Ovis aries: one gene and its partner. The protein of the gene in region 2 binds, or shares a complex with, the protein of the main gene of each other region. Links are inferred from orthologs where the notes say so. Each region holds a gene or a part of one and is shown on either strand. Other genes may lie near its edges.

Region 1 (10,920 bases), on a different chromosome or scaffold from region 2:
GCTTTCTGCTCTGGGCTACAAATGAATCTGTTGTCCACCTGCCCATGTGACGTCTACTGTGGCCCAAGGTTTCCCATTTTACTGTCAAGTCTCAAATACCTTTATCCAAGGCTTAGCCAGAATATTCATGTTTTATTTTTCTCTCTGCAGCTTCCTGTCATATCTGTGATGAGAGAAACGGAGTCCCAATTACTGCCAGATGTAGGAGCTATTGTAACCTGCAAGGTAAGTTGGTCCTAACCTCCCTGCTTAGGATACCATCCAGTGTTGAAATCATGATCCTTATAGAACTGCACTGTCCAATATGGTAACCAATAGTCACATAACGTCATTTAAATTTCAATAAAATTAAAACAAATTTAACATTTATTTCCTCAGTTCTGCTAGCTCCATTTCAAGTAGTCAGTAGCCACAGGCGAATGGTGGTTGCCATGTTGGTCAACAGAATTTTTCTATCATCACAGAAAGTTTTACTGGACTGTGCTGGGTCTAGAGATTTCTAGGATAATGATCAGTGTGGTTAAGTTCAAGCTTATGTAGTCCTTTCACAGAGCTGGTTTCCTCAGTATGTAATTTTTTATTTCTGTCTGGGAAACAGGAGTACCAGAAGGTCATAAGGAGGTGTATTTTTGAACATCTAAAGCGAAACTTTTTCTGCAGAGAAATGAAAGATTTTTATAAAGTCTTTGAGAGCAAGTGCAAATTAGTGCTGTACCAATTAGTAACTATAAGACATCCGTATTCCCTGCCCATCCCCACCCTCTGCCAGTTAACTTGTAGCTCTTAGTTTTCCTCTGTAAATAATTTCTCCAACAGAAAATCTATGTGGGGAATTCCTTGGCAGTCCAGTGGTTAGGACTCTGCACTTTCAGTGCCAAAGGTGTATGTTCAGTCCCTGGTCAGGGAACTAAGATCCTGCAAGCCACACAGCGTGGCCAAATTTAAAAAAGGAAAAAAAGAGAAAATCTATGCATTATTTTGAAAATAACTGGACAGGCACAGTGATCCAAATATTACCCAGCAGCTGAAATGGAGACTTAAGTTCCATTCACACTACAGGCCTCTTGGTGAGATCTGCTAAAGGTCTAGTTAGAGTTGCTATGCTTCCCTTGTGGATTTATGTTAGACTTGCACATTTTTAAAAATCTCTGCCATATTATTTCATTTGATTCCCTCGGTAACTCTACTTTAGGTGGCCAGAGTGGCTCTTACTCCACTTTATGAACATCCCTTATGCAGGGATAAATACGAGTTAACTTATCTGAAATTCTATGCTTAGTAGGGATGCTTGGACTAAAATCCTAGTCTTTCCTAGTTGATTCCTGCCTCCTTCAGCTGACAACTGCTAATACTCTATAATGTTGCCCTCTATAATGTTGCCCTTTCCTCTGTTCCACAGGTCTCCAGCATCAATTCACGCTTTGCCAAAGTACGCATCCTATATGTGGGGTCCACGCCACTTAAGAACTCTTTTCGAGGAACCATCCGGTAAGGAGTATTTTTGTCTTCATATTCGCCTCAGCGCCTGGAATGAGATTAGGATAGGATGGGAGACTGGAATTTTTAAGAACAATTAACAGTCTACTCCTGCCCTGTCTCACCTCTTTGTGCTTTGATTCTCCCCAGGTAGTATCTAAAGAAAATATTATAGTATGTGAGTTAAAACAGAAGGAAGATATTAATGAGATAGGGCTTTAAATAGAACAAAAAAGAATTGAATAAGCTGGAGGTGCATTGTGGGTATGATTCATACCAAAGTAGAAGGCATTTTAGGAAGTACCTTTTTTTCTTGTGTTAATATCGATTAACCCAAGCATTATAAGACAATAAAAAGGATAGTGGGTAAAGTGGTATTTTTTCCCCACTATGGGTTCTTTGAGAAGGGACAGACAGTTCTTGTGAGCTAGATAATTTAACATCTGAGGCTCTTTCCACCCTCAGGATTCTGTGTGGTTCTGTGATGCTGCCATTCAAGCTCTCCTAAGGCAGCAGAGCTCCTTATCCTCTGCCAAATCGGATCCACTTTCCTCTAGTGGGAGGTATTGATACTCCTGTTCTGTTTGATCGAAGAATGGGAACTGTGATTTTCTCCTCGGGGTTAGGACGGGAAATATTTCTCCACCTGCTCCTCTGGGTGGCAGCAGGGTCCGGATCAGGACTTGTTCTCTTTGCTCTTATAGCTCTTTCTCTGCTAGGAGTCTGCTGGATAATTCTTTCTCACAGATAATTAATCTTTCTGTTACTTCTTTTCTTTATAGCAAAGAAGACGTCCGAGCTACTGAAAAAGACAAGGTTGTTGGTTGGCTCTTTTTTTTCTTCATGGCTTTAGGAATCTCAGTCCTTTGAGATTATTCCAGTGAATTTCAACAGGATGCAGCATGCTTGGGGCTGGTGCATGGGGATGACCCAGAAAGATGTTATGGGGAGGGAGGTGGGAGGGGGGTTCATGTTTGGGAAAAAAAAAAAAAGTCTGTGGGAATGTGGAGTCCAAGGAATTTTAAGGTGTTCTCTACTGGAAGGTGTGGAATTCACCTCACTATTCCTTTCCTCTTTGTGTGATTTTTCTTCTGTTGACCAGAGAGGAGCTAGTTTACACTTTGTCTTTGAAGCCAGGTATTTATTCATGGCTGTTCTCTCAGACTTATTCTGGACCCTTTCAGGGCAACCATAGTACCTTTTGTCTAAGTCAGATTCCTGATCAGGTTACTGAGTTCAGATCTTTCATTTTTGTGATGATGCCGCAGAATCAATAAAAGTTGTTGCTCTACTTGAGTAATGGTAGATCTGCCATTGGGGTTCTACCCTCTGGGGTTAGAAGTAAACTAGCTCTACCCAGTGGGGTTAATAGTTTCATTATAGACCTGATCGGAGTTTTTACTTAACACTTCTTTCTTTACAGGTTGAAATTTATAAGAGTTTCCGCCCAGGGGACATCGTCTTGGCCAAAGTGGTATCCTTTATTCCCTGAAGACTTGTGATCCTTTGTCAAAGGAAGAAATGGAAGTAGAGAAATCACTCAAGTAGCTATGAGAGGGAAGACTTGTAAGTCTTTGTTTTCCTTTACTAACGTGACATGACTAGATCTCCCTAGGTGATGCGCAATCCAACTACCTGCTAACCACTGCCGAAAATGAGCTGGGAGTGGTGGTGGCCCACAGCGAATCAGGTGAGTTTGTCCATGCTACCATGTGCTTACCTTTTCCTGAGAGCTAAGGTTGGGATTAGTCCACTGTTTTCCCTCGTTTTTTAATTATCTTAGAAGCAATGTGAGTGTAGATACTGACTACTGGGATTAGAATGATTCTCCTTATAAAATCTAAGGAAAGGAGCCACTTACTACTTAAATCAGTGGAATAAACAAGGCTTTTTTCTGTATGAGGTGAGAGGTTCACTAGGCAGCTTGGTGACATCAGTTCACACCCAGCTGAAAAGAGAAATGTCTCGAGCAAGTATCTGGGGTCCCAGCTCCTACACCACCTTTCCCCTTGCAGGTGTCCAGATGGTCCCCATCAGCTGGTGTGAGATGCAGTGCCCAAAGACCCACACCAAAGAATTCCGGAAGGTGGCCCGAGTGCAGCCTGAGTTCCTGCAGACCTAAGAAGCCACTTTCCCCACGCAGAAGGGGAAGCTGTTTTCCAAGAGTACATGTGTGAGTGACATCAGGAGGCTGTTGTCTTTATTCAGATACCAGGGGTTGGTCAACAGCCACCTTTAGAAAAATCTTTCCTGTAGGTGGAACGTTTTTCTTGTGAACCTTTCAGTGGGTTTTCTTCTCTGGAGTAATTTCTTTTGGAGGCACCAGCAAACAACCTGTATGACGTTAGATTATAGCCTATTCTTTTGAGTGTTGCACATGTGTGCTTTTGCTATGACAAAGAAAACATTTTTATGAAAATTTTAGTTTCTGTTGTCTCAAGTAGGGTAAAGAATCTAAACTGACATGACATCTAGAGCAGAGTCTTTGTAGACAATGCCTAATCACCTATCTTTTTTGTGTGTTTTTTTTATGTGCTACATACTTTTGAGTACTTGCTATGTGTCAGGCATGGGTTGAGCACAAAATTACCAACTTTTGTTCTAAGATTCAGTACAAGCTAAGGAAACTAACATCCCATCAGGCTACTTTAGACTTAAAGTACTAAAAGTCTTCCTAGGATTACTGGGCACATCAGATAAACAGCTAACTTGGAAAGCAAGATGCTTAAATTTTAGAATAAGGGCAACATTCATACTGGGTCCCAGTACTCAGTAGTGTACCTTCTGGCCCGTTTCTGTTTTCAGCGTGTTTCCTCTTCTGTAAATGACACTAGCCCTTTCAGAGGTTATCAGGATTGAAGATTATGTATACAACATGTCTCACCTGATGGCTAGCACAGAGCGCTTAAGAATTTTCTAGATGGAGGGTGTCACTTGTTCCTACTAGAAGAGGACGGCATTATGGGCTTTCTCATATTCCAGTGATCTTCTCAGAGGCCTCAGAGAAAAGGCAAGTGTGAGCAATGCCCCTCCCCAATTATGTAGACAACTGCAGTCAGTCCTCCCTATCCATGGATGGGAAACCCATGGGGAGAGAGCCATCTGTACTATGCCACCTTGTATTAGGCACTTTAGCATCTGTTAATTTTGAAATGTTTATTTTGGCTGTGCTGGGTCTTAGTTGCTCTTCACTGCAGCATGCAGACTCAGCTGCATGCATGTGGGATCCTGTTCCCTGACCAGGGATCCAACCCTAGCCTCCTGCATTGGGAGCTGAGTCTTAGCCCCTGGACCACCAAGGAAGTCCCTAGCATCTGTTAATTTCAGTATCCAGAGGAGTCCTGGAATCAGTCTCCCCACTGCAGATAAGGGATGACTATAGATTCATTTTCTCCTGCAAGTATAATTTCTGAGGAGGTTAGGTAACTGACAGGGATAAAACTTCAGGAGCCAAAAGGAAAGGTGTGAATCAAGTTTACAGTTTACTAATAGAAAGGGACTGGCTTTTTTAAGTCTAGTAAACAAACTTTTACCTTTCTAAAGAAGGTATATTTTGGCCACCTCATGTGAAGAGTTGACTCATTGGAAAAGACTCTGATGCTGGGAGGGATTGGGGGCAGGAGAAGGGGACGACAGAGGATGAGATGGCTGGATGGCATCACGGACTCAATGGACATGAGTCTGAGTGAACTCCGGGAGATGGTGCTGGACAGGGAGGCCTGGCGTGCTGTGATTCATGGGGTCGCAGAGTCGGACACGACTGAGCAACTGAACTGAACTGAACTGAAAAAAGGTATAATAGTTTCAAAATTTGATTTTAGTAACCAGTACCATTGAGCAAGAGCTGTAGAGAGGCAACAGGAAACAGTTCAGCTCAACCTGTAGTGGAGAACCCAGTGAGATACATGGTATTGGGAACCCCCCAGTGATGACCTCTCAACACTTCTGGATAAGTCTTCCCTCGGCTTGGACTGAGGACCATGCCCCAGATGTGCCATTCTGACTAGACTGTATGAAGGGAGTGGGTGCAAGAGATAAAATGGCTGTGTAAAGTTGTGACTGGCTATCCTAAAGCTCTTAGTCATACACGAACTTGGGCAGTGAGAGACATTTCGAGTTGAATGTTCGAGTTGATTTCCTCAGGTAAGACATATCACACAGAAAATATTGCACATCACTCCTTTATTTTATACTGATCTGGAAAAAAGATATTTTTAGTACAGTTATGCTCAAATGAGTACTGGGCCCAAGTGCAAGGCCAAGCAACTGGAACATGGTTCAGAAGGCAGGCACAGTGAGAGACACACTTGGACATGATCAAGAGGCATTCCGCTGCCACAAAACAGTAAGGCCGGGGAGGGATTCTAAAACACACAACAGGATGAACTCCTACGCCTTAGAAGTCAAGGAGCTTATCCCATGATGGTGTAAGGAATGACTTATTTGCTGATGACCACATGTGGGAGTATTTCAACCGCCACTAAAAACCCCAGAAGGGTTTTTTTTTTTTTTGTATTTATATATAATTTTTTTTTTTTTAAAGTAAATGCAACACAGAAACATTCAGGATTGATCCAGCCTTTTAGAGTCAGGGAGGAATATTTGATTGAGTCACCATGCAGGTTACATTCATCTTCCACTGGAATGACTAGAGCCCCGAGTCACCTAACAACAGTGCCCAGCTGGCCTCTGGGGATGCGAACAGGCTCTTACCATTGGTCACAGCTCAGCATGGTTTTCTCCCTGACCCCTATGCAAGCTGCTCCTTAGTAATAAACCACTATCAACCCCCCCCAGTGATAACCTCTCAACACTTCTGGATAAGTCTTCCCTCAGCTTGGACCGAGGACCATGCCCCAGACGTGCCATTCTGACTAGACTGTATGAAGGGAGTGGGTGCAAGAGATAAAATGGCTAATGTGGAATTGGGAGCCGCTGGTCCCCACCTGCAGCTACAACTTATGATGCCTACAGATGTCATCAGTGGGACATGTGCCAGGGAGAGGTGCAGAGGAGTAGGGTGGGCCAGGGCAGGGGAGGAGGGTAATCCCTGGGAAAGCAATCTGCTGCTTGCCCTCACTTCTTGGCCTTGCCCTGGGCAGCCACAGCCTCCATGGCTTTACGCACGGTCTCTTCATCCCCCAGGAACTGCATGGGCTTGATGGGCTTCAAGTTCTTGTCCAATTCATAGACCATGGGAATGCCAGTCGGCAGGTTCAGCTCCATGATAGCCTCTTCAGAGAGACCTGAAAATATACCCCCGCCTCATGATCAGTCAAGCAAGATAAGAATCCACAGACCTCTCCAGCTTTTCTGTTCATCGTCCAGGTGAGGAAATGGGTCCTCCAAGGACTCTGGCAGGAATTAAGACACCCTTTCTGATACTTGTCATAAGAGTAAGGATCTGTATTAGGGTAGAGTGATCACCCAAGGAATGCCCCCAATATTCTTTCTCAGCCACTGAACAGCAAGAAAAAAGGGATGAAAGGTATCCCTCCCCAAGGGGGATCTGGAAGCCCACAGTGAAGCAGGACTATACATCTTAGTATCTCAAATGTCCTATGTTGTCCATACAGCTGCCAAAACGTGGCGCATCTGGGCCTCTAGGCCCTCAAGTGAAACAACTTAGGATGCAAACTGACACTCATGTGGGGAGTTGTAATCAGGCTGTGGTTAAGGATTTTTATCAGCAATTTCAACTAGCAGTCCTAGTCCAGAGGTGAAAGTGAAAGTGAAGTCGCTCAGTTGTGTCCACCTCTGTGACCCCATGGACTGTATCCTACCAGGCTCCTCTGTCCATGGGATTTTCCAGGCAATAGTACTGGAGTGGATTGCCATTTCCTTCTCTAGGGAGTCTTCCCGACTCAGTCTAGAGGTAGGCATCTCAAACTTTCGTGTGTATCTCCTCTGGGGAGAGATACTTTCCATCCCTTTTTTTCTTGCTGTTCAGTGGCTAAGAAAGAATACTGGGGGCATTCCTTGGGTGATCACTCTGCTGTAACGGAGCGATGACAGATGCAGCTTCCAAATCAGGTCTGAAGTGGGACCTGAGGTTCTAACTTGTTAACAAGCACCCAGTGGGGTGTGGCAGCCTCTGGTTCTGCAGATGATGCTTTGAGAAGCAAGGATCATGTTTCTACTAGGAGATAATCTGGACTGTCTCTAAGGCTCTCAGTACATCCAACCCTTTCCTAAAGGTCTCCTTCATACTAAATCAGTCCAGAGTAGTGGCAGCTCTGCTTTACCCTTCCCCAAGGGCCCCTCTGAAAAGCACACATACCCTCCAGATGCTTGACGATGCCCCGAAGGCTGTTGCCATGGGCTGCAATTAGTACCCGTTTCCCCTCCTTGATCTGGGGGACAATTTCTTCATTCCAAAAGGGCAGAGCTCTGGCAATTGTGTCCTTCAGACTCTCACATGAGGGCAGCTGGTCTTCTGTGAGGTCTGCGTACCTGCGATCCTAAACAAAAAATCCCAGCTTAACAGTTATTACCAGTTGCATCTGTTCTGCCTATTCCTCATCCCCTAAGGGATCACAGTACAGGTAAAAGTCTCTCACCAGGGCACTGAGAGCTTGAGAAGGCGGATTATTACTATCCTGCCCTCCCTCCCCCATTACCCACGACAGGGAAGATTGAATAGTCCAAAAGAAACACAGCTTAGGAAAGGTAGGCCTCAAGGCCTTCCCAACTCACTCTTACCTCGCAATTGGTTTAGGAAGGCCCTATCAGCTACAGTGCAGTTTTAAAAAATATGGCAATACATGTAAAAAAGATAGAAATTCTTTATAGATAAACCACATAAACTCTTAACAAGTGATGGTCATTCCTTGGAAAAGAGGGATTACAAGGGGTATTTATTTTATCATAAATTAGAAACTCAGTGATCTAGGCAGATACTAATAAAAGCTAAAAGAGAGAAGTCCAGATTCTGATCCCCTGGTCCTGTGTCAGCGAGCCAAACCTCAGTTTGTCCATACCTTACTGATGTTGCTGTAGAAGGGATGGTCGGGCTCCATGGGAGGTGGCGGGACATCATAGGAGCGCCTCCAGATCTTTACCTGGGCCTCACCATGCTTGGCCGCAGTTTCTGCCTTATTGAGGCCAGTCAGACCCCCATAGTGTCGCTCATTAAGGCGCCAAGTCCTCACCACTGGCAGCCACATTTGGTCAATGGCATCCAGCACTGTCCAGAGGGTCCGGATTGCTCTCTTCTGCACTGAGGTGAAGCAGATGTCAAACTCATAGCCAGCATCTGAAAATTGTAAGTTAAAAGTGATAAGCCAATGAGGTCCACTCTAGAGCCAGAATTTCTTCTTTTTCCTTTTCTTTAGCCATGCCACATGGCTTGTGGGATCTTAGTTCCCCACCAGGGATTAAACCTGGGCCCTTGGCAGTGAGGGCAAGGAGTGCTAACTACTAGACCGCCAGGAAATTCCCTAGAGCCAGAATTTTCTTACATATAAATCTCAGGTATGGACAACCCAAATGAAAATTATTTGGCTAAATATTTTCTATACCCTAAATATTTTACATACAGGAAAAACAATATTTTGCCTTTGGGAAAGGTAACATTTGTTGATTTATGTTGCAATTGACAATATACTTCCCAGCAGCTTCCCAATAATTCATCTAACCAAAGGCCCAAATGTATTGTCAACGAGCTAACCTGAGATCTGCGCTAATCCCCAGAGTGCTGTGCTTAAGCACATTTTAATTTTTTATTTGCTTTAATTCTTTTAACATAAGGATATTAAAAACTTGGAGTCACTTAATAAACATAATATTTAATATTTATAGAGGGTTTACCAGGCACTGGACTAGTAAGTACTTTGTATGTGTTTTATTTAGTCTTCATAACAATCTAATGAGGTTACGTCATTACAATCCATCTTACTGGGTGGGGGAAATAGAAACTGCAGGAGTTAAGCAAATTATCTGAGGTCACAGATATTACATGAAAGGTTAAAAACCCAGGTTGTATGACTCTATAATCCAACTCATAACCACCATCTCTAGCTTTCTCCATAGCTTCCTAACTTCTAAGGATTCTGATGTTTGTATTTTAGTTAGAACTGTCACTTCTGATTGATAATTACTGATATATTTCAGTCCTCTCTAATTTCTGGTCCAGGAGAAATGGGATTTTTAATTCAACAATTAGGATACAGCAAGAGCTCTTACAGGATGCTGATAAAACCAGTCTGTTGCATGAAATTGTATCTTCCCTAGCGTATGGAAATCACATCACAATCTCTTCATCCACAGTTCCTTTCTGCTAGTCAAATTACTTGACTACCCTATATATCTACCTACCTACATCAACTGTTAAACCAAGTTTAAGAGAAGCCACTCACTGGAGAAAAAGCAGACCTCTCCTCTACACACAGCAGTTATGAGGGGTGGTATCAAGAGTTATGTTGGCCCAACCAGTAAGTTACAACCATATATATCTTCATTTATGTTTCACAAACCATTATTCTCCCTCCCACTTTAATGGGGAGATGCCCCTTTCCTTATGCAGTGAGCCAGGAAAACATTACTGTTTTCTTCAATGAGGCTATAAGGCCCTCATTGAAATTCAGCACAAACTTTCCTGTATTGAAACCACCAACAGAAATTAATGAAGTGAATTTTCTGCCAGTCATTCAGCTGAGAATAAGGCCAGTAAGAACTACACTGATGGGGGAAGGGAGGATTAGTCACCAGGAGACTCACCAGCACCCACGAGGGAAAAGACACATCTCATCGCTGAGCCTCAGGACCAGTCCTAGTAGACTCACTTACCATCTCCTCCCTAACTTTATAGGGAAGAATGATTTCCCAGTAAAAGGCTGAGTCACTGGGAAGCAGCATCCTCAGTGCAAGGCTCAGCTGCCATGCTGAAAAGCTGTGGTTTTTTCACTGAGTTTTCTCATTGCAGTGGAGTGCTGCACATTAGATACACAAATAGATCCCAGAGAAAAAGAGCAGTTCCCCTTATAATTCTCAACAAACTCTAAAGCCTCTTCCTTTAACTTGGCCATCAAACAAAAGCAGAGTTTAGGACGCTCCCAGGGATGGGGTTAGCTGGTGTGCCATGTGGCCTCCATCCTCCCTTAATAATATGGCGTGGTGAAACTCAGTTCTTGCTAATTTGCTCCTGAAATCATGCAAGATTTTATAAGCCCTACAGTACTTAAAGCCCTGGTGAAATTAATACTTTATTTTAGGCCTTTTATATTATTAGATTATTCATATGGTCTTCATCATTCAGAATTTTTGCTTTTAGTCATTGACTTTTTATTTAATCATCTGTGATGCCCCTAAACAGCTATTTTAAAATTTTAATGGGCTTTCTTTTTAAACTAATGCTACTAACATTTACTTAAAAACTGAACTTGGGTCTGTTATTTTAAGAGATTACAAGTTAAGGCATTTGACCAGTCTTAGGGGACAGTTGCA
Region 2 (9,982 bases):
TGGGTGATTAAAAAAGTGATTTCAGAGTTTACCTGTGGTCGAATTTAGACCACTTGCACAGTTTAAAATACAACAAACAAAAACAAAGTTGAATAAATTTTGGTCAGACGTTGCAGGATCGAAGCTCTGTTGAGACAAAAGCTGTAGAGCCCCTTCCCCTTGCTGGGCCTTTAGACTCCTGGCTGACACTAGCCAAGGGCAGGCCTGGCCCTGTGGCCACTGTGAGGCCTCACGTCCCAGATGCTATCTGCAGCAGCCTGGCCTTGGGTTAGAGAAGAAAGGAAGTTGCCATCTGTTGTACCTCAAGCCTCAGAAATCACTCCCTGTCTTGCCAGCTAGTTGCCATGGGCACCAAGGCAGAAAGGGAGAGGAGAACCAGATGAGGCTGTTGGGCTGTAGGGGAAGTGTTGGGCAAACTGTACATCAGAATGGTAAACCCAGCTGCTCAGGCTGGGGAGGACAGCTGTCGTGGGCATAGCTTTCAAGTCCCATTCCCAGAGCACAGCAGCCATGCAGGCAGCAGGGAGTGCGGACTCTGCAAGGCACTCAGTGCCCCTGGTGTGTGGAGAGGACCCTGTATAGTCAGGGCCTGCTAGAAGGGTGGCGGCTATTCTCTCGAGAACATCCTCTAGCCCTTCTGATGAACTGCATTATGGCCAGAGGATTGGGAAGGGGTCGGGGTGTGTGTGTGTGTGAAAGAGATGGGAAGGGGTGTGTGTGAGTGTGTATGCATGCTTTGTGTGTGATGGGAAGGGGTGTGCGTGTGTGTGAGAGAGATGGGAAGGGGTGTGTGTGAGTGTGTATGCGTGCTTAGTGTGTATGTGATGGGAAGGGGTGTGTGTGAACCCCTCTGCTCTGGACCTTGGCGTGTGTAGGGACAGGCAGCAGGACTGAATCAGAGGGGGCTCTTGTCAGAGGCACAGGGAAAAGCACTGGCGCTGCTTCCGTAACTGGAGCTGGATGGACCGCCTCTTCCTTCCTGGCCCCACCCCACACTGGAATGAGCCGGCTTTATGGCGCCCCTGTGTTTCTAGCACCCAGCTCAAGAAAGAAGAACAGCGCCCGCCCCCGGAAGCCCTCCCACCCTGTACCCCCATGCAGTCACTGCACCCCCCGAGGATAACCACAGCCCTAAAGCAATAGGTCGCTTTGTGCGTGGTCCACACAGAATCCCGCGGTGTTTTCTCGCTGATGTCTGCCTCGGTCACCAAGCATTATGTTTTGAGACTTCTGTGTTGTGGCTTGTGGTCATGGCCCTCTGTTTTGCTGTGTGCTGGTCCGCTGCCGGCGAATATGCCACACTGATGTATCCATTCTTCTGCTGACGAGCGTCTGAGTAGTTGTCAGTTTTGAGCTCCTGCAAATAGTGGCAGCAGATACTGTGAAACGGTTTTCCAGGTTGCTTTTACCAAATGATACTCCTAGCTTTGTGTAGAGTCTGAGCTGCTCTGCCTCTTTGCCAGCCCCCCCCCTCCTTTTTTTTTTTTTTTTTTTTGGTCTTTTTAATATTAGCCATTCTGGTAGGTGTGTCTTGGTATCACATTGTAGTTGTATTTTGCACTTTCCTGATGAATATTTTAAGTTGAGCACCTTTCTGAGTGTCTGTCGGCTATGTGAATAGGCTCTTTTTTGAGGTTCCTATTGAAGTCTTTCGCCCATTTCTGTTGAGTCGTCTGTCTTTTCTGTTCGGTAGGAATTCGTTGTGTAATGTGTCAGTTTATGCACTCACACTCACACAGAGAAATAATTTGTTTTCTCCATTCTGGATGATCTTTTAGTTTCCAGATAATGCCTTTTGACAAACAGAAGCTTATCGTCTGTGTTACATCGTGCACACGCAGAGGCGCTCCTTGTCTCACTGCGCGCCCCTGGATTGTGCTTAGCTGGCGCGGCCTTCTCTGCAAAGTGAAGGTCTGTGGCCGTGCTGCAGCCAGCAGGTCCGTCAGCGCCATTTTCCCAACGGCATCTTCTCACCTCACGTCTCTTGCAGTATTCAGACTTCTTTGTACATATTTGTCACAGTGACCTGTGATCAGTAATTTTTGACGTTACTATTGCAAGAAGGTTCACATGATGTTTAACATTTTTTAATGTGTTTTTCACAGCAAGTTCAAATCTGGTGCTCTGTGACAACCGAGGGGGGTGGGATGGGGCGGGAGGTGGGAGGGAGGTTCAAGAGGGCGGGGACATACGCATACCTATGGCTGAGTCATGTTGGTACACGGCAGAAAGCAACACAATATTGTAAAGCAGTTATCCTCCAGTTAAAACTATCCTCCAGTTTGTTTTTTTTTTAAGAGTCTTTTAAAATTAAGGTATGTGCACTTTTTTCATTTCCTAGGTATAATGCTTGCGCCAAGCTTACAGACTGCGCTATAGTATAGACTTGGCTGCTTACGCACTGGGGAGTGGCCGAGTTCTCATGGGACTTGCTTTATTGTGGTGTCTGAAACCAGACCTGCCGTGTCTCCAAGATGTGTGTGTGTGTGTGTTCAGTTATAATTGAAGGCTAGTTTTGTTTCCTTTACAACGAGTACTCTGTGTCCTGTTTAATAATCTTTGTCTACTCGAAGGTCGTGAAGATGTTCTTAGTTAAAAGCTTTATGGTTTCACCTTTTACATCTGTGGTCCGTTTAGTATGGATTTTTGTGTTTGGTGAGAAGGTAGGGTTCAGGGCTCATTTTTGGATCTCTGTTGACCAAGTATTGTTTTAAATTTCATTTTTAAATTTTTTGTTGCTGGTTGAGGTATAATTCATGTAGCTTCAGGTGTATAATATAGTGATTTAGTATTTTTATATATTATACCCCATTTACAGTTACTCTAAAACATTGGCTATATTCTCTGTGCTGTACAATGTATCCGTGAAGCTTACTTATCTCATTCGCAGTATTTAGTTTGTGCCTCTCGATCTCCCCCGCCTCTAGCCCCTCTCCACTTGCCTCTGCCCAGCATCACTTTTTAAAAGACCTCCTTTCCTCACTGCACCCCTTTGGCAGGGCTGAGGGCAAACTCAGGCACAGCATGACTTCATCTTCTGAGGCACAGGGATTCCAACTCAAGAAAAAGAAGTTACCATGCTTCCTTTCAGTAACTGGGAATTTTAATTCTGCTTCTAGGATACCAAGAGTTCGTGTTCTGGAAGACGAAGAAGGGTCGAAGGACATTGAACTGTCCGATGACCCCTACGACTGCGTCCAGCTCAGCGTGGAGAATGTCCCCTGCATCGTCACCCTGTGCAAAGTATGAGCTTATATCTCATGGTTTTTTCTCCCCTGTCAATCTCCTCCAACCGTGGCCCGTTAAGGTTACCTAGTAGGTTGAGAAGTTATGGTTTACAACCCATACAGAAGTACCTTTAACCTAAATCCACTAATTTTGTTATATTAGAGACCACTACCATAAACAGCTTTCTCTTTTTCACTGGAAGATGTGGCTCTGGTCTCAGGAGCACATGAGTGGGTTCGTAGTATCAGTAGCCAGAGTTAGCAGAGCTCCTTCTGTCTACCAGGCATGTCACCAAAATACCTTGAATGCATATTTCCTTTACTTCTTCCAACTCTGGTGTCTGGGCTGCTTGGATAGTAAAAAGGTGGTTGAAAGGCGGACACTGTCCCCTCTGTGGGCCCTAATGAGCACATCTGTGAAATGAGGGCTGGAGCAGGGCCTGGGTGTCTAATACATCAAGCGTGGAGTGCCGAGGCCTGTGGAGCGGAGCAGCTAGCTGACGCTCAGGCCTGACTGGCACCGCCCAGGACTGTGCAAAGAGGCCTGTTCTGACTGAGAGTGTCATGATTCCACTCGGGATTCACTGGATACAGATCAGACTGACAGGTCAGGTTTAATTCCACCAGGATCGCTACATGAGCCTGGGCTTTGAGAAGTGTTGGGACGACCAGAGCCACCTGCCCTTGACTCATTCTTGAGCGCGTCCATCAGCATGGGCCCTCAGCATTCATCTCTGTCATCAGTGAAACATCCAGGGGACCTCTGCTGGAGACCCCTGGATAGCCCCTGACTTGGAAGGTCTCTGAATTTTAATTCTGACCACCATCCCCCGCACCGTGTATTTCCATTTCCTGCTTCTGTTACAGTTTACACAGCCTTTCAGCAGCACAGCAAACAGTGCTCCAGGTGTTCTCCTTATGAACAGAATCTAACATTAGGCCCGAATGGGTGTGTGGGCGTCGCCTCTGCGAGGCCCTCGGGGTGCGCGTTGCCCACGCGTGCGCACTGCTGCCCTCACCTTGCAGATTGGCTATCGGCACGTGGTGGACGCTACTCTTCAGGAGGAGGCCTGCTCCTTGGCCAGTTTGCTGGTGTCCGTGACCAGCAAGGGAGTCGTGACGTGCGTGAGGAAGGTGGGAAAGGGCAGCCTGGACCCAGAGAGCATCTTCGAGATGCTGGAGGTGCGTTTGGTTCTGCAGTGGGTGCTGGTACCTGGCTGGGGGCGCTTGCTGCCTCCTGCCCCTTGGTCACACGGGACACTCTCCCCATTTTCCCCTCTTCACCCCAGTTTTGGGGATTGGAGGGCAGCTGGTATAAGGCAGATGTCGCTGAGCTAGCTGAGATGGTGGTGGGTGGGGGCTTGGGACCAGGAGGTAGCGACTGGCCCAGAAGAGTTCCTTATCCTCTCCTTCTCTGACCCCAGTGCCACGTTTCTGAATAAGAATGTTGGACTGATAATGTTAAGAGTCACTTGTAACTGCCAAATCCCAGGCTTCGGTGATTGGATGAGAGAACTGAAATCCTGGCTGACTGCTTCCTGCCTGTTAAGGAGAGTGGGCAGAGGTGGAGCTGCGGGTACAGGATGGTGGTCTCCCCATTCCGTGTGGGCCTGGAAGCGTGTAAATGGAGATGAAGAGGGATGGGGGAAAGCCCCCCACGGCCTCTGGGTGGGTTGCTCCCCTCGGTGCCCCCAGGCCTGGCAGCAGCACTCGGGCGCTTTCCAGCTGCTCCTGAACTGACTGGTTGGCACTCCCATCCCCTCCACTCCTGATAAAGCTTAGACACTCAGCTGGTTGTGTGTCTGCCGCCCCGGCCACTATAACCTCTCCTGCAAATCCAGGTCCAGATCTCGCAAGCCCTGGTGGCCTGTTTGTCTCATTTCCTATTCTCTCCCTGTCTTCATTCCTATGAATAATCAGTTTCCCTAGTCAGTGTCCCCTACTTGGACATTTTTTCCTTTTCTTAATGTTGCGATAGAAATCTTTCCAAAGTCACTTTGGACCTTAATCCTGATTTCGCATTTCATAGACTCAATCCCTTCCTGGTCTTTAGACTAAGCTCTTCTCTTCATGAGTTTTCGTGATATGGGGGTCTCATCCCTTGTTATAGTCCGGGGTCGGGAAAAGCCACACAGCCCTGGGGAGAGTCCACCGATGACTAGGAGGACTGGGGTGGGGCCAGGGCCTGGGTGTCTTTCTCCCTGACATTGTCGGGGATGGAACCAGTAGCACAAGTGAACTAAAGCTGGTATGAGACCATGGAAGGCTTGGAGAGGAAACTTGTAGTCGGTTCATAATGTTCTTGAAATGATTCATGTGACCCAAAAACAGTTGCATGAAGAAAGATTTTTATATAGTTGGGATTTTTTTGTCAAAGCCCCCTTCTGTCAGCTGTGTAGGGGGCTAATTAGGAAATCTATGGCGTTGTCTGACCTCGTGACATGCCTTGATCCCAGTAACGTATGCTTTTAGCATCTCTGCATGGCAGTAACATCAAAGACTCTATTCAGGTATTGACTTTGGTCCTATCTGAGCAGGTCTCCTTTGGTGGCAGGCAGATTAGACACTGCTTGTTAAAAAGGGTTCCCAGCACCATCTGTTCCTTCATCAGACAGATTCTGGATTCCCCGTGGTCTCCCCATGCCTTCTCTCTGCAACGCAGTGGCTGTAGCCAGGTTCTGACGGGGCTGACTGTTCTGCTGCTTCCAGTGGCAGCAGCTAAGGACCGAGGCCGCTTTTGTTCCTTTCTGCTTGCTGCTTGGGGGCTGCCTTCTTCTTTTTCCCCTTTCTCAGAATAGAGGCTTTCCCAGAAGGTTAACTACTGTGGTGTCGGGGTTTGGAGGGTTGGGTTTTTTTTTGGCAGCACCTGGTCTTAGTTGCAGCATGCAGGATCTTTAGTGGTGGCATGTGGGATCTATAGTTCCCTGTCCAGGGATCGAACTCGAGCCCCCTGCATTGGGATTGCAGAGTCTCAGCCTCTGGACCACCAGGAACTCCCTGGGGTTTTTATGTTGAATGAAAGTCCTGTAAGGCCGATGGCATGTGTGCGGCTTTGGAATGGCTGGTTGGCAGGGACGCTTCTCTCAGTCAGAGTACGTGTGCCTCACGGGCGGGCGTGTGCCCTCTTCTGTCTGCCCTTCTCCGTCCTGCAGACTGGCAAGCGCGTGGGCAAGGTGCTGCATGCCTCCCTGCAGAGCATTCTACACAAGGAGGAGAGCCTGGGGCCCAAGAGACAGAAAGTCGGATTCCTGGGCTGATGTGCACAGCAGCCTCCAACTGCCGAATGTTTGTCTTCTCCTTTTCCCTGGAAGCTGAAGTTTGTATACATTGTTTTCTTAACTGCTGTGAATTTAAGGCAACATTTGTACATGTGAAATTAAAGTCTATTTTCTGGTCTCGTGTGTGGTATGGCTTGACTTCTTCAGCTGTACGCCAGGATGCCATTTGTGGCTCCACCACAACTGACCCTTCTCTAGGAAATGACAACTAAGTCCAGAGACCTGCTCCAGTGGAGGACTCTGGTCCCAGGCCTCTCCAGGGAGACTTGTCTCCTGCTGCAGGAAATCAGAACAACAAACACACACACTAAAATAAGACCTACCAGAAAAATAGTTCAAAGGAACTGCTTATGATATCAGAGTCAGTTCAGTCGCTGAGTCATATCTGACTCTTTGCAACCCCACGAACTGCAGCACACCAGGCCTCCCTGTCCATCACCAACTCCCAGAGTTCACCCAAACCCACACCCATTGAGTCAGTGATGCCATCCAACCATCTCATCCTCTGTCGTCCCCTTCTCCTCCTGCCCTCAATCTTTCCCAGCATCAGGGTCTTTTCAAATGAGTCAGCTCTTTGCATCAGGTGGCCAAAGTATTGGAGTTTCAGCTTCAACATCAGTCCTTCCAGTGAACACCCAGGACTGATCTCCTTTAAGATGGACTGGTTGGATCTCCTTGAAGTCCAAGGGACTCTCAAGAGTCTTCTCCAACACCACAGTTCAAAAGCATCAATTCTTCAGTGCTCAGCTTTCTTTACAGTCCAACTCTCACATCCATACATGACCACTGGGAAAACCATAGCCTTGACTAGACAGACCTTTGTTGGCAAAGTAATGTCTCTGTTTTTTAATATGCTCTCTAGGTTGGTTGTAACTTTCCTTCCAAGGAGTAAGTGTCTTTTAATTTCATGGCTGCAATCACCATCTTCTTATGATATATATATTGTCAATTTTCTCCCCCTTAGAGCTTTCAAGATGATACTCACACACAATATAAATGCAACTCGTGCATTTGGGGGCTTCCTGGTTGAGATGGAGAAGGCATTCTGCCCTGGGTACCGACCCAGGGTTTCTGCCTGGCTGGTGAGCCTTCCCGAGTTTTGGGGAAGCCCAGTTCTTGCTACTGGCCCTCTAAGAGATCCCAGCCGAGCTCCCCTAGGGTCTGGTCCTGAGCCAGCCTTTCTTATCACTCTTGTTTGGAAATTGCTTCATGTTTTATAACCACTCCCTGGTGTTTTGTAAGATTTCCAGGTTTTATCAGTATTAAGAAGGCTGCTTTAGAGATGTTGCCATTTGATTACTCAGCCCGCCTTCATACTCTGGGGACAGAAGGGGAGGCCATTCTTCTGGCTTTCAGAACGCGCTTTCTGTGAGCCCGTGTTCTACTCACAGGACAGCGTGCTGGAATTAAGTCTATTCATGGGTTGAAGCAGTCTTGGTATTCCTTTGCCGGGGGAACTGAAACTCCCCAGTCGATCTTCAAGAGAGCCCTGGGGAAGGAGCTGATTCATGAAGGAGTGTTTCAGCGTGGCATTTTACTCTCTTCGTTTCATTAAACAAACAGGGTAAGGAGTTAGGAATTTTTATTGCCAGATGGAAAGAACATAATGTGAGCTGAAGCCCTTGCAGGTTGACTGCAGAGGTCCTGGCGTGGGCATCTCCCGGCCTGGCCAGGGGTGCCCAGTGGAGAGGAGCAGCTGCCTAGACTTGGAGCTGCTGCCCTGTGGAGAGAACAGCCGGGGATTTCTTCTTTTGCTTTATTTCCAGGGAGAGTCCTCATGGGTGCCGCCACAGTGCTGCCAGCGAGGTGGCAATCAGCCTGTTCCTCTTCCCCTGGCGCTGGTTGGCTGCCTGTGATGGAGCGTTCACAGTGGGGCTGCGCAGCTGCAACCAGAACGTGAACACGGTTGAGAAGCCTTTGGTTTCGGTGATTAGAGGCATCAGAGTTGCGACAGACAGGTGACGCTGTCCCAGTCCAACTGTGCCACAGCTACCCACCTGGGCCTGCTGGCAGAGCCCGTCCAGTGCAGATGAAGGGGAGAGGCAGATGTCAGCATGTCTCTACCGCCCCGTCCGTACCTTTCCTTGAGGGCCACCCTGCCTGGAAGAAGCATCCATCACAAATGAAACAAAACACCAAGTGAGCAGGGTCTCTCCAGAGAGGCTTTCCTGGAATTGTCTGGTTACTGCAGCTCTCAGAATAAGGAAAGAGAACTGAAGGCAGAGACTGGCAAAGACTTGGGAAAATATTGTCCCAGAGAACTCCACTACTTCATTCAGCAGAACCAGAGCTGTCTTTAGTGGCCATTAAATCAGTGTTGGGGAGAACTAATATGAGCCAGAAGGCAATCAGGAGTTTGTGGGCGGGGGGCTCAGTGAGGGTGGGCATGGAAGGAATGGAGTATTACAGAATATTCTAATTGCTTTTATTCTTTGATTCCTTGGTCTCTGAAATCGTGTAAATTCAAGCCTACAAAGCACACGAATTTCTAAAATTGACAGCTGTTTGCGTTTTGCTCAGTAAAGGCAGTGGTCTCCCATATACCTGCTGGTTCAGTTCAGTTCAGTCGCTCAGTCATGTCCCACTCTCTGCAACCCCATGAATTGCAGCACACCAGGCCTCCCTGTCCATCACCAACTCCCAGAGTTCACTCACACTCACATCGATCGAGTTGGTGATGCCATCCAGCCATCTCATCCTCTGTCGTCCCCTTCTCCTCCTGCCCCCAATCCCTCCCAGCATTGGGGTCTTTTCCAGTGAGTCAACTCTTTGCATGAGGTGGCCAAAGTACTGGAGTTTCAGCTTTAGCATCATTCCTTCCAAAGAACACCCAGGACTGATCTTTAGGATCGACTGGTTAGATCTCCTTGCAGTCCAAGGGACTCTCAAGAGTCTTCTCCAACACCACAGTTCAAAAGCATCAATTCTTCGGTGCTCAGCTTTCTTTATAGTTCAACTCTCACATCCATACATGACCACTGGAAAAACCATAGCCTTGACTAGATGGACCTTTGTTGGCAAAATAATGTCTCTGCTTTTCAATATGCTGTCTAGGTTGGTCGTAACTTTCCTTCCAAGTAAGCGTCTTTTAATTTCATGGCTGCGGTGATTTTGGAGCCCAAAAAAATAAAGTCTGCCACTGTTTCCACTGTTTCCCCATCTATTTGCCATGAAGTGATGGGACCAGATGCCATGATCTTAGTTTTCTGAACTTTGAGCTTTAAGCCAACTTTTTCACTCTCTTCCTTCACTTTCATCTAGAGGCTTTTTAGTTCCTCTGCACTTTCTGCCATAAGGGTGGTGTCATCTGCATACTGAGGTTATTGGTATTTCTCCCAGCAATCTTATAACTGCCAGTTGAGCATAAATCTATGTTAGTCAATATTTTTTTAAGATAGTCTGGCAGTGTGTATTAAAAGTCTTAAAACTTTCAGGCCCGTTGACCTAATAATTGAGTTCTGGAAATGTCACCAAAGA

The links. Proteins that work in one complex are often made in the same cells at the same time.
Region 1: EXOSC7 (region 2) and EXOSC1 share a complex: the UniProt entries of both Homo sapiens proteins name them as parts of the RNA exosome core complex. The link is inferred for Ovis aries from reciprocal best matches to the Homo sapiens genes EXOSC7 and EXOSC1.

The regions. Positions count from the first base shown.
Region 1 is NC_056075.1:18,479,038-18,489,957, reverse strand, and holds the end of EXOSC1 (exosome complex component CSL4), read left to right. Parts: intron 1-150; coding exon 151-225; intron 226-1,399; coding exon 1,400-1,488; intron 1,489-2,258; coding exon 2,259-2,292; coding exon of another isoform or gene 2,293-2,299; intron 2,300-2,899; coding exon 2,900-2,950; intron 2,951-3,081; coding exon 3,082-3,166; intron 3,167-3,491; coding exon 3,492-3,598; 3' UTR 3,599-6,028; downstream 6,029-10,920. Other genes in the region: PGAM1 (phosphoglycerate mutase 1), read right to left, coding at 6,553-6,722, 7,757-7,937, 8,457-8,731. UniProt on the Homo sapiens protein: Non-catalytic component of the RNA exosome complex which has 3'->5' exoribonuclease activity and participates in a multitude of cellular RNA processing and degradation events.
Region 2 is NC_056072.1:54,147,628-54,157,609, reverse strand, and holds the end of EXOSC7 (exosome complex component RRP42), read left to right. Parts: intron 1-3,119; coding exon 3,120-3,243; intron 3,244-4,253; coding exon 4,254-4,409; coding exon of another isoform or gene 4,410-4,565; exon of another isoform or gene 4,566-6,379; coding exon 6,380-6,484; 3' UTR 6,485-6,624; downstream 6,625-9,982. UniProt on the Homo sapiens protein: Non-catalytic component of the RNA exosome complex which has 3'->5' exoribonuclease activity and participates in a multitude of cellular RNA processing and degradation events.